Linked DNA regions of Elephas maximus indicus. The protein of the gene in region 1 interacts with the protein of each later gene in a pairwise test. Links are inferred from orthologs where the notes say so. Each region holds a gene or a part of one and is shown in the gene's direction. Other genes may lie near its edges.

The links.
Region 2: the proteins of OSGIN1 (region 1) and CAPN3 interact in binary tests that used the Homo sapiens proteins (3 or more experiments, as listed by UniProt). The two-hybrid records come from large-scale screens. The link is inferred for Elephas maximus indicus from reciprocal best matches to the Homo sapiens genes OSGIN1 and CAPN3.

The regions. Positions count from the first base shown.
Region 1 is NC_064839.1:49,938,433-49,947,580, forward strand, and holds the start of OSGIN1 (oxidative stress-induced growth inhibitor 1), read left to right. Parts: upstream 1-5,024; 5' UTR 5,025-5,159; intron 5,160-9,148. UniProt on the Homo sapiens protein: Monooxygenase catalytic activity. Involved in regulation of cytokinesis; promotes RHOA activity, probably acting locally at the midbody in late cytokinesis.
Region 2 is NC_064828.1:13,641,558-13,649,943, reverse strand, and holds the start of CAPN3 (calpain-3), read left to right. Parts: upstream 1-4,947; 5' UTR 4,948-4,964; coding exon 4,965-5,273; intron 5,274-8,386. UniProt on the Homo sapiens protein: Calcium-regulated non-lysosomal thiol-protease. Proteolytically cleaves CTBP1 at 'His-409'. Mediates, with UTP25, the proteasome-independent degradation of p53/TP53.

The DNA.
Region 1 (9,148 bases):
CAGGCTGCACACAGGAAGCACCTGGGGTGCAAATGCAGACTCCGAGGCCCTATCCCTGACCCATGTCATCGGAATCTGTAAGACTGGGGCTCCGGGCGTTAGTATATTCTTTAAGTCTCCACGGATGATCCCAGTATGCAGCCAGGGATGAGAAGCACTGCTCTGCCAGAGGTGGGTGTCGTGACCTCCATCTCACAGACAAGGAAGTGGAGCTCAGAGAGGTAAAGTAACTTGCCCACAGTCACACATCTGAAAGTGAGGGAGCCAGAGTCCCAGCTTGTCTGCCTCCAAAGAGAAGCCTTTCACACACCTTCTACATATCCTGTCTACCCTGCCCCTGAGGCAGATATATTCCCTCTCCTGCGGGAACTTTCCCCTGGTTTTTAAGGAAAAGGGAGCCCTGGTAGTGCAGTGGTTAAGCTCTCGGCTGCTAACCAAAAGGTTAGCAGTTTGAACCCACCAGCTGCTCCGTGGGAGAAAAGACCTGGAAATCTGCTCCCTTAAAGATTACAGCCTTAGAAACACTACGGGGCAGCTCTACCCTGTCCTATAGGGTCTCTATGACTCTGAGTTGACTTGACGGCAACGGATTTTAAGGAAAAGAAGGAGGAATTGGGGGAGCAAGGAATGTCTCATGTGTCTGCTGGGGCCTCCTGTCTCACCCTGAGCAGATGCCCTTCCGCACCCCCCACCCCCGCACCCCTCTTGGGCTCCTTTGTTCTGTGGCCCTCCCCACCCCAGTTCTCTCTGTGTGGCTGTGTGTCCTTCTCAGCTTTTGCAGCATCTCCCCCAGGGGTCTGCGGTGATTCCAGACCCCAGGACAAACCCAAGCCAAGCGTTCTCCTCTCCCTCCAGGCCAAGCCCTGGAGGCCCCGCCTGCTGCTCTGGGTTCTGTCCTCCAGACAGGCCAAAGTCTGAGTGCCCTCACCCTTCATTTCCAGGTGGCCTTGGGCAAACTTGTTGGCCTCTCTGAACCTTGGTTTCTTCATCTGTAAAATAAACATTGCTGTTGAAAATATTTGCCCATCTCTCTGGGCTGTCGGGAGAATCGATGAAATAACGCAGACAACCAGGCTCTGTAAACAGTGAGGCACTGCACAAATATTAGCGTATCATGTACTGGACTGGCCTGGTCTCTTCCTGACAGAGCCCCAGCACAACTAAGTGTTGCCAGTGTTGCCACTCACCGTGAACTTGGGGCCTGCCTTAACTTGCTGCGTCTTGTTTACTCACCTGTAGAATGGGGTAATGGCGCTGTACCTTCCTCGCTGGACCGTTGTGCAAATCCAGTGCATTGGCTGGTCCATGGAACGTGCTTTCAGTACCGGGCACTTGGTAAAGACTGGGCAGCTGTGGTGGTAGGCGGGGTCTTCAGGCTGCCCACCATGACACTGGGAACGTAGACAGGGTCCCCAACCCCTGCCTTTGCTCCTGAGACAGGAAGGAGGTAACCGTTTGTCTGTCAGACTTTATCCCTGGGTTCAAGCCCTGGCTCGGCCACTGTGTGACCTCAGGCCCGAGATCACCCTCTCTGAGCCTCATCTGGATGTAAGGAATCCTCTGTTCACACTGCCCGGCCCTGAAGGTGCCCAGCAAAGGACAGCATCTGTGGGAGCCCCTGGCTGAGGACAAAGAAGGCAAGGACCAGAGGGACAGAACGGATGAGCAGGGCTCAGGAGCAGCCCCTTAGGATGATTCTGGGATTCCTTAGGGAGACAGGAAGTGCAGTTTTGATGGAAGGTAGGGGGTTTTGTCTCAGGACCAAGACCCCCAGGGAAGCTCTTTGTGCCACCCCACCCTTTCCCATCCATTCCACAGCTCCTGAGCATCCTGCAGGGCCCTGGGGTGGGGGGTGCTGCCATACCAAGCACAACAGGCTGCCAGGGTTCGAGCTTCTCCCGTGTGTCACCTGCAAGCTCCCTGCTAGCAGCGTCAGTGCGCAGATGGGGAAACTGAGGCACAGAAGGAAAGCACCTCTCCCAGGTTACACTGCCCATCCACTTGCAGTGCTCTAGGGTGACCAACCATCCTGCTTTGCCTGGGACACGGCAGGACTTTCAGTGCTGGACCTGGGAATGTTCTGGTTTATGTCACCAGCAGGCACCAAGGTCAAGAGCTTCGCTGTCTCATTGAAGTATAATGCCAGTCACTGTGTAACTTTACATTTTCTAATAGCCACATTCAACAAACAAAATAAAGTGGTGAAGTTAATTGTAATAACATATTTTATTTAACCCAATACATCCAAAATATTTTCATTACGTCTTGTAATCCATGTTAAAAAAAAAAAAAAAGAGGAATAAGATATTTTACCTTCTTCTTCTTAATAAAAAAACTAATTCTTCAAAATCCAGTGTGTATTCAAAATCCAGCGAGGGCTGCCAGATAAAATACAGACTGTCCAGTTAAATTTGAATTTCAGATAAATGATGACTTGTTTTAGGATAAGTATAGGGTTTTATATATATATCCGAATAGGAAACCCTGATGGGGTAGTAGTTAAGAGCTTGACTGCTAACCAAAAGGTCGGCAGTTTGAATCCACCAGGCACTCCTTGGAAACCCTATCGGGCAGTTCTACTCTGTCCTATAGGGTCGCTATGATTCAGAACCAACTTGACAGCAATGGGTTTTGTTTTTTTTTTAATAGCCAAATATTGCATGGGATATACTTATACTAGAAATCAACTGGCGTTTCTCTGAAATTCAGATTCACATGGGTGTCCTGTATTTCTACTTGTTAAATCTGTCAGCCATACTCCAGCACATCTCACATTTCCACGCTCAGTAGGTACGAGTAGCTTATGGCCATGAGCTGGGCCAGGCAGTTGGAAGGGAGTTAGGGGTGTTCATTGGGATCCAAGAGCATGCGTCCCCCAGGACAGCCTGTAAAGGCCTGTTCTTCCTGTCTCCGTGGCTCCCTCTCTCCATTGCCCCTTCATGGTTTGTCACATTATCTCTTTGTCTTAGTGGAGCTTTCCAGAAACAACTAAAAAAATTCTATTTCCACTAATCACATGGTTGGTAAACAAGGCGGCAGGGAAGAAAGTCCACGTGTCACCATGATTCCCAGTTATCAGCAACTTTTCAAAATCTAGAAAGGGGGGTCATGGCCAGCGGGGGCAGCAGGCTGTGGGGAGAAGGGGTGGGCAGGGCCCAGGAGACAGGGTTCTGGGAAGCTGGCCTCCTTCTCGATCTCTCCTCTGCGGACCCTGCCATCCTGGCCCCTACAGCCTCACCCTCAGTCTCTGACCCTGGGTGTGTGTCTCTCTCTGCCTCAGTTTACATATCTGAAAACGGGGAAGTTGCAGGCGGAGCACCTTGGGATGGGGAAGTGGAGACAGAGAGGCAGCTGCTAGGGGACAATGGCGTGTGAACAAGAGGTACGTGCCAGAGCTGCTGGCCTCGGGCCCTCACTGGTCATTGCTGGGCTCCAAGGGTGTCACGAAGGCCACAGCTGGGACAGAGGCCCAGAGAGGGAGGCCACCCCCCAAGGTCACACAGCACACCTGCAGTGGGTCTAGAAGCCGGGAGCTGAGGCCTGGAACAGAGGGCAGATGTCCCTCTGCCATAGGCCACAGGCTGTGTCATATGACCCCCCACTGGGTCATCACTGCCCATGACCACAGGAGGAAGGGATTATGCATGCCCATTTTCACATGGGTAAAACTGAGGTTCCGAGGGGGCGTATCTCCCGGGAGCTCAGCCAGCCTGGAAGGGGCTGAGCCCATTTGGGCCACGTGATTGCAGAGCTGGATGTGAAATGAAACCTCGGACTCCTGTGCTCTTCCAGGGCACGGCCCGGGTCCCCTGTGGCCACCAGGGCCAGGGCCAGGCTAGGGTGAGGGGAGTGGGATGCTTGTCTCAGGCACAACATTTAAGGGGTCCAAAACACTCCATAATCAGGACACATAATGCATGAATGCAATTTTTTAAACAACCGAAATGAATGCAAAACATCTATGATGAAGAGAATACCACAATTTTCAGTGAAGACAGCATCAGTATTCCTGATTTTTCCTTTTGACTCTGGATCTAATATGACTTGGGTTGGGACTGTCTTGAATCCTGTGTTTATCTTAAACGTTGATATTTCATTCACCGTGGATTTTTTTACATTAATTTTGATTTTTCAAACAAATTGCTTTAAAATACTATTTTCTTGGTTACTGAGTTTTTTTTGACAGACCCTTAAATTTTGTGCCCCAGGTGAGTGCCTTACCTGCCCCACCCTGGTTCCAGCACTGGTGGCCCCCACTGCCACACAGCAGAACAGGGCTGTCAGGGGTGCCCCCAGGCCTAAAGTGGTGATGAGGAGACAGTAGCATCAGTAATGGAAATAATAGCTAATAGGTCCTGAGCCCTATGGACCAGACTCTGCTCTACCTTCCTTCCTTCCTTTCAACAAAATTTGAGTGCCCACTATTGTGTGTGGCACTATTCTAGACACAGGAGACATAACTCCCTGCCCACACTGTGCCCACATTCTGGTTTAGGGACAGAGACAAGAACAAGACTAACTAATAACCAGCAATGTGTGAGGTGCGAAGGGATACCTGCTAAAGAAGAAACGTAAGGAAGAAAATGGGATCTAAACTGGGAGGGGCTTCCTGTGGTCAGCATGGGAGGGAGACAAGTGGTGTCATTTAAGCCTATACCCACCACAGGCAGGAGAGGCTGTTCCTTAGCCCCATTTTTCAGATGAGGAAACTGAGGGTCGGCCATGAGCAGTTTGCCCAGCCTCCCCCAGCCAGTAGGTGCAGAGGGGGACTTGCAGCCTGGGCAGGCTGGGGGCTGGGGTGGGGAAGAGGCGCCTGGGGTGGAATCTGAGTGGAATGAGAGAGCCAGCGCGGGGCCCGGCTGGTGGGAGGCAGGTGCCCGCCCCGGGGCCCCTTCAAGGCCGCCCTGGCTCGCAGCGTGCACCCGCCCCGGGTGTACAAGTTCATTCATCCAGGGCCTGCTGAGTCACGCTTATGAAAGTAACTGCCCGGCCCCGCCCGCCGCCGCTCGGTGAAATACCCTCGCTTCCCCCTCGCCGCTCACTGCCTCTCAAGTCCCCACAGGCGACGGGTGTCCCGCTCCCGCAGCGGGCGCTGTGACCCCAGTTTCTCGTGCACCGCCGGCTAGGCTCGCCGGCCACCTCCACCAGCTGCCCATCAGGTGAGTGACCCCGGCCAGGCCTGGAGGAGGGGTGGCCAGCTGGGTCCGGGTCTGCAGGCCCTGGAACCGGGCGGGACTCCCAGGAGGTCCCGAAGCCCCGGGCCCCCCCACCCAGCCCGGCCCGCGTCTCCCCCTGCCAGGGTCACCCCTAGTTGGTGAGTGCCCGGATCCAGCCACTGCCCTGCTGCCCACCCGCCCGGGGCACGTGACCGCCCGACCCTGGACCGCGCTCCAGGAGGGAAGGAGGCGTGGCCTCCAGCACCCTGCCGAACCCGCTGGGTCCAGCCGCCCGCCGGACCGAGCTCACTGTACCGACCCTCAGCCAAGCATGGAGACCCCAGGGACTAGCTTCCCACAGCAGGCTCAATGGTGCTGGGCTGGAGGGCTGGGGGCCCAGGGAGACCCTGGGGTCTTGGTGGGGTCGCCTGGGAGGGAGGTGGCACCGGGGCGCTAGGGGAGGCCCTGCTGCACCAGGCTCACAGCCCGGTCCAGCCCGCGCCCCGGGGGCGTGGTGTTTCTCGGTGTCTTTGTGATCGCGCTTCTTACTGACAGAGGTCCAGGGACTCTGCCAGGGTCGCACAGGTACGAGGGCAGAACTAAGATTTGTGCTCATGGCGTGGACTCAGACGTTCTTGGGCGGCCCTGGGCAGGGCGCCTCTCACCTCGGTTTTCCCGACCGTGCAATTGGCACAAGAAAACGCGCCTGGCAGGGCTGTCCTCAAAGTCAGATGGTCTGAGGGCCAGAGTGTGCAGCAAGTGCAGCCAATACAGCTGTCCCCGTCTTGGTGCAGTTTTAAGCTCTGATGGCCTCTGGATCGTCAATGCCACAAACGCAAACGCAACATCACGTAAAGCTGTCATTATTTCCATTTGCTTTATGCTTACTTGGTTTTGTGAATTTCGAATAGTCGATTTTTAACTTTTTTCCAGTAACATTTTCCATCTTCAGAGGGACTTCAGAAGTTAAAATTAAAAATGGATGCTTCCAACTTCATAAACCGTAAAAGTGGGAAAGAAATGGAAAAGTGTGAAGCTTTCACATTATATTCTGTGCGTTTTCAGCGGGTCTACTCCATGGTGGGAGAGCTCTCAGGGATCAGGGCTCCTGGGCAGCTTTTCTGCACAGGAAGTGATCGATGGGTCGGTCCTGGACTGTGTGACCTCATGACTGTGGCATCCTGGTGGTGCTGGGAGGGAGCACTTGACTTGGAGTTCAAAAGTTCCCGCCGTTGCCAAGAGAATTCAACAACATATCAAAAAAATAATCCGCCATGACCAAGTGGGATTTATACCAGGTATGCAAGGCTGGTTTAATATTAGAAAAACCATTAATGTAATCCACCATATAAATAAAACAAAAGACAAAAACCACATGATCTTATCAATTGATGCAGAAAAGGCATTTGACAAAGTCCAACACCCATTTATGATAAAAACTCTCAGCAAAATAGGAATGGAAGGAAAATTTCTGAACATAATAAAGGGCATCTATACAAAGCCAACAGCCAACATCACTCTAAATGGAGAGAGCCTGAAAGCATTTCCCTTGAGAACGGGAACCAGACAAGGATGCCCTTTATCACCGCTCTTATTCAACATTGTGCTAGAGGTCCTAGCCAGAGCAATTAGGCTACACAAAGAAATAAAGGGCATCTGGATTGGCAAGGAGGAAGTAAAATTATCTCTATTTGCAGATGACATGATCTTATACACAGAAAACCCTAAGGAATCCTCCAGAAAACTACTGAAACTAATAGAAGAGTTTGGCAGAGTCTCAGGTTATAAGATAAACATACAAAAATCACTTGGATTCCTCTACATCAACAAAAAGAACATCGAAGAGGAAATCACCAAATCAATACCATTCACAGTAGCCCCCAAGAAGATAAAATACTTAGGAATAAATCTTACCAAAGATGTAGAAGACCTATACAAAGAAAACTACAAAGTACTACTACAAGAAACTAAAAAGGACCTACTTAAGTGGAAAAACATACCTTGCTCATGGATAGGAAGACTTAACATAGTAAAAATGTCTATTCTACCAAAAGCCATCTATACATGCAATGCACTTCCGATCCAAATTCCAATGTCATTTTTTAATGTGATGGAGAAACAAATCACCAACTTCATATGGAAGGGAAAGAAGCCTCGGATAAGTAAAGCATTACTGAAAAAGAAAAAGAAAGTGGGAGGCCTCACTCTACCTGATTTCAGAACCTATTATACAGCCACAGTAGTCAAAACAGCCTGGTACTGGTACAACAACAGGCACATAGACCAATGGAACAGAATTGAGAACCCAGATATAAATCCATCCATATATGAGCAGCTGATATTTAACAAAGGCCCAGTGTCAGTTAATTGGGGAAAAGATAGTCTTTTTAACAAATGGTGCTGGCATAACTGGATATCCATTTGCAAAAAAATGAAACAGGACCCATACCTCACACCATGCACAAAAACTAACTCCAAGTGGATCAAAGACCTAAACATAAAGACTAAAATGATAAAGATCATGGAAGAAAAAATAGAGACAACCTTAGGAGCCCTAATACAAGGCATAAACAGAATACAAAACATTACCAAAAATGACAAAGAGAAACCAGATAACTGGGAGCTCCTAAAAATCAAACACCTATGGTCATCTAAAGACTTCACCAAAAGAGTAAAAAGACCACCTACAGACTGGGAAAGAATTTTCAGCAATGACATCTCCGACCAGCACCTGATCTCTAAAATCTATGTGGTTCTGTCAAAACTCAACCGCAAAAAGACAAACAACCCAATCAAGAAGTGGGCAAAGGATATGAACACGCACTTCACTAAAGAAGATATTCAGGCAGCTAACAGATACATGAGAAAATGCTCTCGATCATTAGCCATTAGAGAAATGCAAATTAAAACTACGATGAGATTCCATCTCACACCAACTAGACTGGCATTAATCCAAAAAACACAAAATAATAAATGTTGGAGAGGCTGCAGAGAGATTGGAACTCTTATACACTGCTGGTGGGAATGTAAAATGGTACAACCACTTTGGAAATCTATCTGGCATTATCTTAAACAGTTAGAAATAGAACTACCATACAACCCAGAAATCCTGCTCCTCGGAATATACCCTAGAGAAATAAGTGCCTTCACATGAACGGATATATGCACACCCATGTTTATCGCAGCTCTGTTTACAATAGCAAAAAGCTGGAAGCAACCAAGGTGTCCATCAACAGATGAATGGTTAAATAAATTGTGGTATATTCACACAATGGAATATTATGCATCGATAAAGAACAGTAATGAATCTGTGAAGCATTTCATAACATGGAGGAACCTGGAAGGCATTATGCTGAGCAAAATTAGTCAGAGGCAAAAGGACAAATATTGTATAAGACCACTATTATAAGATCTTGAGAAATAGTATAAACTGAAAAGAACACATACTTTCGTGGTTACAAGGCGGGGAGGGAGGGAGAGTGGGAGAGGGTTATTTACTGATTCGTTAGTAGATAAGAACTACTTTAGGTGAAGGGAAGGACAATACTCAATACATGGAAGGTCAGCTCAACTGGACTGGACCAAAAGCAAAGAAGTTTCCGGGATAAACTGAATGCTTCAAACGTCAGCGGAGCAAGGGCGGGGGTTTGGGGACTGTGGTTTAAGGGGACTTCTAAGTCAATTGGCAAAATAATTCTATTATGAAAACATTCTGCATCCCACTTTGAAATGTGGCGTCTGGGGTCTTAAATGCTAACAAGAGACCATCTAAGATGCATCAGTTGGTCTCAACCCACCTGGATCAAAGGAGAATGAAGAACACCAAGGTCACACGATAACTATAAGCCCAAGAGACAGAAAGGGCCATGTGAACCAGAGACTTACATCATCCTGAGGCCAGAAGAACTAGTTGGTGCCCGGCCACAACCGATGACTGCCCTGACAGGGAGCACAACAGAGAACCCCTGAGGGAGCAGGAGATCAGTGGGATG
Region 2 (8,386 bases), on another chromosome or scaffold:
TGGAGGTTTAGGGTCATGGTTTCACGGGACATGCCACTTAATTGGCTTAATAACATATTTAGTGCTTCTGTTTTACCTCCTAGTTCGTTGCACAGTGCCTAGGACCTTAAAAGCCTGCAAGAGGCCATCCAACATACAACAATTGGTCTCCGTTCACCCCGAGCAACAGAGGAAGAAGGCAAGTCAGGAAGAGGAGGAAGATATGCAATATGTCTGTTATTGCCTCCATAAACAATTGCCTCCTTTGCCTTGAGACCAGAAGAGCTGGATGGTGCCTTGCTGTCATTACTAAACATTTTGATCAAAGATTCCATAGGAGAATCCTCATCAAAAGGGGAAAAAATGTAGAACAGAATTTCACATTTTAATGGACTTTAGACTTTCTAGAACCATGGAGAGTCCATGAACTCCTGAAACTATTGTCCTGAGATAATCTTTAAACCTTAAACCAAAAATGTTCCCTGAAGTCTTTTTTAAAACAAACAACAGCTCAGCTTAACTAGTAAAAAAGGTCTGCCTTGAACATTATGCTCTTTTAAGAACCATCTGTATGGGATCCAATTGACAACAGCAACTTGAAAGATGAGATAGGAACCTTAGGGGGCAGTGAATTTATGTTAATGGGGAAGGAACAACTCAGAAAATGAGGGTGAGAATGGCTGCACAACTCAAAGAATGTAATCAATGTCACTAAATGGTACATGTAAAAACTGTTGAATTGGTGTATAAATTTGCTCTGTATATTCTCAACAACAACAAAATAAAGAAAATTGAAGAAAAAAGAAAGAGGACATAATGGGAAAACAGGAGAATTCAGAATAAAGTCTTGTAATTTAGTTAATAGTATTGTACCAATATTAATTTCTTAGCTTTGATCATTGTACCATGATTCTATAAGCCAGGTGAATGATATAAAGGAACTCAGTACTATCTTTGCAACTCTTCTGTAAGCCTAAAATTATTTAAAAATATAAAGTTTTAAAAAGTACTCTGTGTGAAATGGCTAGCTCACAGTAGGCACTTAATAAATGGTAACCCGTTAACCCGTTGCCATCAAGTCGAGTCCAACTCGTAGCAACCCTATAGGACAGAGTAGAACTGCCCCACGGGGTTTCCAAGGTGGTGGATTCAAACGGCCGACCTTTTGGTTGGCAGCCTGAGCTCTTAGCCACTGTGCCACCAGGGCTCCTAATAAATGGCAAATGTTGTAATTATGAACAGCATAGTGTTGAATCAAAGAAATACTTACTGATGGCAAAGTCACTGACATGGAGCCATTAGTTGGCCTTGTTGGTGCAACAGAAACCATTCCAGCCACAGCTGTTGCATGACCTTGGCTGAAATATTTTATAAAACTAGGTCTTTACACTTGAGGAGGCTTCTGGGAATTGAAATGTGCAGCTGTTTATATGCTCATTATCTGTTCAGATGCTCATTAGCCAGTCTTCCTTCATGGGCTCAGACTGGATTTCTCCCTGATATCACGAGTTTCCCCAGCTCTGCAGCTGAATAAACCTTGGACTTGGACCTGCTAATCTGAGGGGGTTTTTAGCCACAACAATTGATAGACCAAAATGAACAGCGTCTTGTACTCTATATATTTGATGTTCCTACCCTGCAGTGACAAGAGGCTCATCCCTACCTCACACTCAGTTACTGACAGGTGGAGTTGGCTTCAGCAGCCAAGGAAAGAGAGATCAGCATGCATGTAGCCCAGAGACAGTTCCTCCCCTAGGGGTCAAATCAGCCGAGAAACTTTGATTGCATTGGCAAAACAATAAGAAGTGTAAGAAATTTCTCCTCACTTAGGAAAATTTCATTCAACAGAAATACAACACATACTGATTAAGGACCTTCTATACGCTTTTTTTTTTTTTTATACGCTTAACCCTGGGGATGAAATAGGGGTCTAGCCCCCACCTTCACAGAGCTTACAGTCTTGTGGGTGTTAAATAAGCAGAAACAATAAAACGTGGGTAAGTGTTGTGAATTTCAGGGCGGTACAGAGACCCAGACCTATGAGTTGGAGTCGACTTGACAGCACCTAGCAACAACAACAGAGCACTGGGGGCAGCTGCTGGGCCTTCAGTGGTAGAGTTCTCACCTTCCACACGGGACGCTGGGGTTCCGTTCCCGGCCAATGCGCCTCATGCAGAGGCATCACCTGTCTGTCAGTGGAGGTTTGCATGTTGCTATGATGCTGAACAGGTTTCAGCAGAGCTTCCAGACTAGGAAGAAAGACCTGGCAATCTACTTCTGAAAATCAGCCAGTGAAAACCCTTTGGATTACAACAGTCTGATCTGCAACCAGTCATGGGGATGGCAGGTGACTGGGCGATGTTCCATTTCTTTGTCTATGGAGTCACCCGGAGTCGGAGGCCAACTCAACAGCAGCCAACAACAACAACAAGAGAGCACTGGGCTGCTGGGAGAAGGAACCCCAGCTTTGCCGTTCATGCCACTGGTGAGTTGGGGGTGGAAGTCAGTCAGTGAGACGCTGTCTTAGTTCAGGCAGGTAGGCAAGCCTCTGATAAAGGTGCTGTCTACACATGGGCCTGGACACATTGAGCCCGTCCCTACCCTGGACTCCTGGGAGACGTGCAGTAAGCGCTTAGAGTGGGTGCTGATTTGCATCGGGGTGTGAATGTATCGTTCTGTCTGATCTAATCCGATGTAATGTTAAATTCAAGTTTTCTCCAACAACTTTTATGGAGTGCTTAAGACAATCTGGAGCCCTGGTGGCGCAGTGGTTAAGAGCTTGGCTGCTAATCAAAAGATTGGCAGTTCAAATCCACCAGCCTCTCCTTGGAAACCCTATGGGGCAGTTCCACTCTGTCCTATCGGGCCGCTATGAGTCGGAATCAACTCGATGTCAACAGGGTTTTTGGTAAGACAATCCAGGCACTATGATTTACATAAATTAAGTTGTTTAATCCTTACAACAACCCAATAACGGAATGACTATCACTATACGCATTTTATAGGGGAGAAAACTAAGATATACCTAGAAAGGAAGAAGTAACTCGCCCAAAGTTACACAGGCACAGCCAGTAAGCGGCAGACCCAGACTTTGAACCTAAGAAGTCAGCCTTCTATTCTGCCTCTCCAAGAGAGGTAAAAGCCCTTGGGCATTTTCACAGAGGGCTAGGAGGGTACACTGGCAGTTCCTACAAGCCCTAGGCACGGGCTTCCTCAAGGCTGCAACCCCAAGGATCACGAACCTGGCGCTACTGCCTACTTCTGCTGTTACTTCCTGCCTTCTCCCACAGCCTCTAACCTTGGCCTGTGAGATGTCACCAGGGAGCAGGCATGGCTGTGGTCTGGAAACAAGCCTCTGGTCAGCCAGACTTGGAATGGGGCCAACTCCTTACATCCCACAGAGCAGCTGCCCATAGTAGAACCCAAGGCAGAGGTCAGGTGGGCGATTCTCTTCCTCAGAGCCACTTATGCTGCCATCTGAGAGCCCTGAAACCAACTCCTCACGGTATGACCTGCTGGTCTTGATGGCCAGTGTAGTTACAGTTTCTGGGTCAAATGCCTATGTGGGATGCCTGAATACTCAATGTATATCCTGTGTATTTGGTGTATTTGGCCCCAGTGTTTATTTTGGGGGTGGGGAGAGATAAGATGTGGCTAGGTCAAGTGGATGAGAGGAGATGCAGGGATGTTTCCTATCCAAGGACTCGGCCGAGTGGTATTTCTACCCAGATAAATTCCGCTGAATGCTGGCACAAGAACATTCTAGAAGAGATGCCAAATTCAATATTGAACAATGTTCTGAGATCCTAGAGTTTTGGAAAGTAAAACCCATGCTCTCAAAAATGCCTAGCAAGGGACATCTGTAGAGACAGGAGATAGGTTAGTGGTTGTTTGGTGGGGGCGGGGGTGAGTAGCATGATAGGCGGGTGATAGCTAAAGGATATGGGGTTTCTTAAGGCGATGAAAATGTTCTAAAATTGACTGTGGTGATGGTTGCACATGTCTGTAAATATACTAAAAACCACTGAGTTGCACACCTTAAATAGGCAAATTGCATATGTGAATGATATCTCAATAAAACTGTTAAAAAGAAAGAAAATGAGGATTTCAGCCCCGTACCATGAAAGAGCTAAATTCTGCCAACAACCATGTGATCTTAGAAAAGAACCCTGAGTTCCAGAAAGGAACGCAGCCTGGCCAACACCTTGATTTCATTTCTCTCTTACAAATGCAGCAATGAACAGCCTTGTAAGTGTTACCTTGTGTACATGTACGAGTGTTTTTGAAGGATATGGTATACAAGATGGATTTGATTAATATATATTGTCAAATTGCAAAAAAAAAAAAAAGTTGAGAATATTCCTCTGAATTCAGTATCTTACATTCACCCTTTTCAATACTACTTTCCATTAATTTGGCAGCCAGTAATCTGATAGTCTGTATAACTGCCTATTCAATAACACACCAGCAGTTCTTTGCTGATTTTCAAACTTCAAGGTACTCAGATATCCCCTTTCAGTTCCTGACAACACCAGTACCTAATGACAGCACAGAAACGTCCCTAGCCAGGCCTTCTCTCTGCCCTGTAGCCAGCCGCAAGCTAGCCCCTCTCGCTCTCATGCTCACACTCTTCCTTCATGTCTATTTTTAGTTTTCCTGGCTCAAGCATCTTCAGGCCACTGAAACACAACCCTCACTCTCTTTCTCTCCCTCTGGCATGCATGCTGCTGGTAAGAGCCCCCCAGATAAAAATTGCTTCAGAAATCCTTTATTGCCCCTTCCTCAGGAAGAATCTGTTTTCAAGCTGGATATAAGCTGGACGACCTTCTGATGGGCTTTGAACTTTGAACTGGATGTGGACATCTTTCTCTCAGATGACAGAATCACTTCAACTTCCCCTTTGCAGCAGCTTCCTTCCCTTGGAGGTAGCTGTATCTTGTTTTCTGTAAAAAAAAAAAAAACCTTTCCTTCCCAAGTTGCCTGCCATGCCAACTGTCATCAGCGCGTCTGTGGCCCCACGGACTGGGGCTGAGCCCAGGTCCCCGGGACCAATCCTCCACCCAGCCCAGGGCAAGACCACCGAGGCTGGGGGTGGAAATTCAAGCGGCATCTATTCGGCCATCATCAGCCGCAATTTTCCGATTATCGGAGTGAAAGAGAAGACATTTGAGCAGCTACACAAGAAATGTCTAGAAAAGAACGTTCTGTATCTGGATCCTGAGTTCCCACCGGATGAGACCTCTCTCTTTTATAGCCAGAAGTTCCCCGTCCAGTTCGTCTGGAAGAGACCTCCGGTGAGTAGGTTGCTGGTTGCTGGTTGCTGGTTGGGTTTTTCCCCTCAAAGACGTCCTCCCACTCAGCACCTCCCCACAGCTCAGCTGCCCACATGGGCACTTCGGGAATTTTCCTGGCCGTGGCTCTGTCAGCCTCTGTCCTCCAGTGTGATGGGGGAGGGGAGGGGGGCCTTGGATGGCATCAAATCTCTACAAAATTCACCTCCAGCATGGGGGAGGCAGCGCTGATTCTCATTCTCTCTCTCTCTTTGAAATGATCTATTTCTGAAATAATCTTTTTTTTTTTAATTTTTATTGTGCTTTAAGTGAAAGTTTATGAATCAAGTCAGTCTCTCACACAAAAAGTTATATACACCTTGCTACATACTCCCAGTTAATCTCCCCCTAATGAGACAGCCGGCTCTCTCCCTCCACTCTCTCTTTTCGTGTCCATTTCACCAGCTTCTAACCCCCTCCACCCTCTCATCTCACCTCCAGGCACGAGATGCCCACATAGTCTAAAGTGTCCACCTGATCCAGGAAGCTCACTCCTCACCAGCATCCCTCTCCAACCCGTTGTCCAGTCAAATCCATGTCTGAAGAGCTGGCTTCAGGAATGGTTCCTCTCCTGGGCCAACAGCAGGGCTGGGGGCCGTGGCCACTGGGGTTCCTCTAGTCTCAGTCAGACCATTAAGTCTGGTCTTTTTGCGAGAATTTGGGGTCTGCATCCCACTGCTCTCCTGCTCCCTCAGGGGCTCTCTGTTGCGTTCCCTGTCAGGGCAGTCATTGGTTGTAGCCGGGCACCACCTAGCTCTTGTGGTCTCAGGCTGATGTAGTCTCTGGTTTATGTGGCCCTTTCTGTCTCTTGGGCTCATAATTACCTTGTGTCCTTGGTGTTCTTCTTCTCCTTTGACCCAGATGGATTGAGACCAATAGATGGATCTTAGATGGCCGCTTGCTAGCGTTTAAGACCCAGACACCTCTCTCCAAGGTGGGATGCAGAATGTTTTCTTAATAGATTTTATTATGCCAGTTGACTTAGATGTCACCCGGAACCATGGTCCCCAAACCCCTGCCATGCTGGCCTTCGGAGCATTCAGTGTATTCCGGAAACTTCTTTGTTTTTCATTTAGTCCAGCTGTGCTGACCTTGCCTGTATTGTGTGTTGTCTTTCTCATCACCTAAAATAGTTTTTATCTACTATCTAATTAGTGAGTACCGCCTTGCCACCCTCCCTCCATCCTCCATCTCGTAACCATCAAAGAATATTCTCTTCTCTGTTTAAACTATTTTTTGAGTTCTTATAATAGTGGTCTTATACAATATTTGTCCTTTTGCAACTGACTGATTTCACTCAGCATAATGCCTTCCAGATTCCTCCATGTTATGAAATGTTTCACAGATTCATCGCTGTTCTTAATTGATGAATAGTATTCCATTGTGTGAATAGACCATAATTTATTTATCCATTCATCTGTTAATGGGCACCTTGGTTGCTTCCATCTTTTTGCTATCGTAAACAGTGCTGCAATGAACATGGGTGTGCATATATATGTTCCTGTAAAGGCTCTTATTTCTCTAGGTTATATTCCAAGGAGTGGGATTGCTGAATGGTATGGTAGTTCTATTTCTAGCTTTTTGAGGAAGTGCCAAATCCATTTCCAAAGTGGTTGTACCATTTGACATTCCCACCAGCAGTGTATAAGTATTCCAATCTCTCCACAGCCTCTCCAACATTTATTGTTTTGTGTTTTTTGGATTAATGCCAGCCTTGTTGGAGTGAGGTGGAATCTCATTGTAGTTTTAATTTGCATTTCTCTAATGGCTAATGATCTTGGGCATTTCCTCATGTATCTGTTAGCTACCTGAATGTCTTCTTTAGTGAACTGTCTGTTCATATCTTTTGCCCATTTTTTAACTGGGTTATTTGTCTTTTTGTAGTTGAGTTTTTACAGTATCCTGTAGATTTTACAGATCAGGCACTGATCAGAAATGTCATAGCTAAAAACTTTTTCCCAGTCTGTAGGTAATCTTTTTACTCTTTTGGTGAAGTCCGTAGATGAACATAGGTGTTTGATTTTTAGGAGCTCCCGATTATCTAGTTTTTGTTCTGCATTGTTAGTAATGTTTTATATACTGTTTATGCCATGTATTTGGGCTCCTAAAGTTGTTCCTATTTTCTCTTCCATGATCTTGATCATTTTAGATTTGATATTCAGGTCTTTGATGCATTTTGAGCTCGTTTCTGCGATTTTTCTGCGCATGGAGTGAGGTATGGGTCTTGTTTCATTTTTTTTTTTTGCTGATGGATATCCAGTTATGCCAGCACCATTTCTTACAAAGACTGACTTTTCCCCATTTACCTGCTTTGGGGCCTTTGTCAAATATCAACTGCTCATATGTGGATGGACGGATTTATGTCTGGATTCTCAATTGTGTTCCGCTGGTCTATGCATCTGTTGTTGTACCCGGACCAGGCTGTTTTGACTACTGTGGCGGTATAATAGGTTCTAAAATCAGGTAGAGTAAGGGCTCCCACTTTGCTTTTCTTTTTCAGTAATGCTTTACTTATCCAGGGCCTCTTTCCCTTCCATCTGAACTTGGTAATTTGTTTCCCCATCTCATTAAAGAATGTCGTTGGAATTTGGATCGGAATTGCGTTGTATCTATAGATTGCTTTTGGTAGAATAGACATTTTTATAATGTTAAGTCTTCCTATCCATGAGCAAGGTATGTTTTCCCACTTTTATAGCTGTCTTTTGGTTTCTTGCAGGTGTATTGCAGTTTTCTTTGTATAAGTCTTTTACATCTCTGGTAAGATTTATTCCTAACTCTTTCATCTTCTTGGGGGCTACTGTAAATGGCATTGATTTGGTGATTTCCTCTTTGATGTTCTTTTTGTTGGTGTAGAGGAATCCAAGTGATTTTTGTATGTTTATCTTGAATCCTGATACTCTGCTGAACTCTTCTATTAGTTTCAGTAGTTTTCTGGAGGATTCCTTAGGGTTTTCTGTGTATAAGATCATGTCATCTGCAAATAGAGATACTTTTACTTCTTCCTTGCCAATCTGGAGGCCCTTTATTTCTTTGTCTAGCCTAATTTCTCTGGCTAGGACCTCCAGCACAATGTTGAA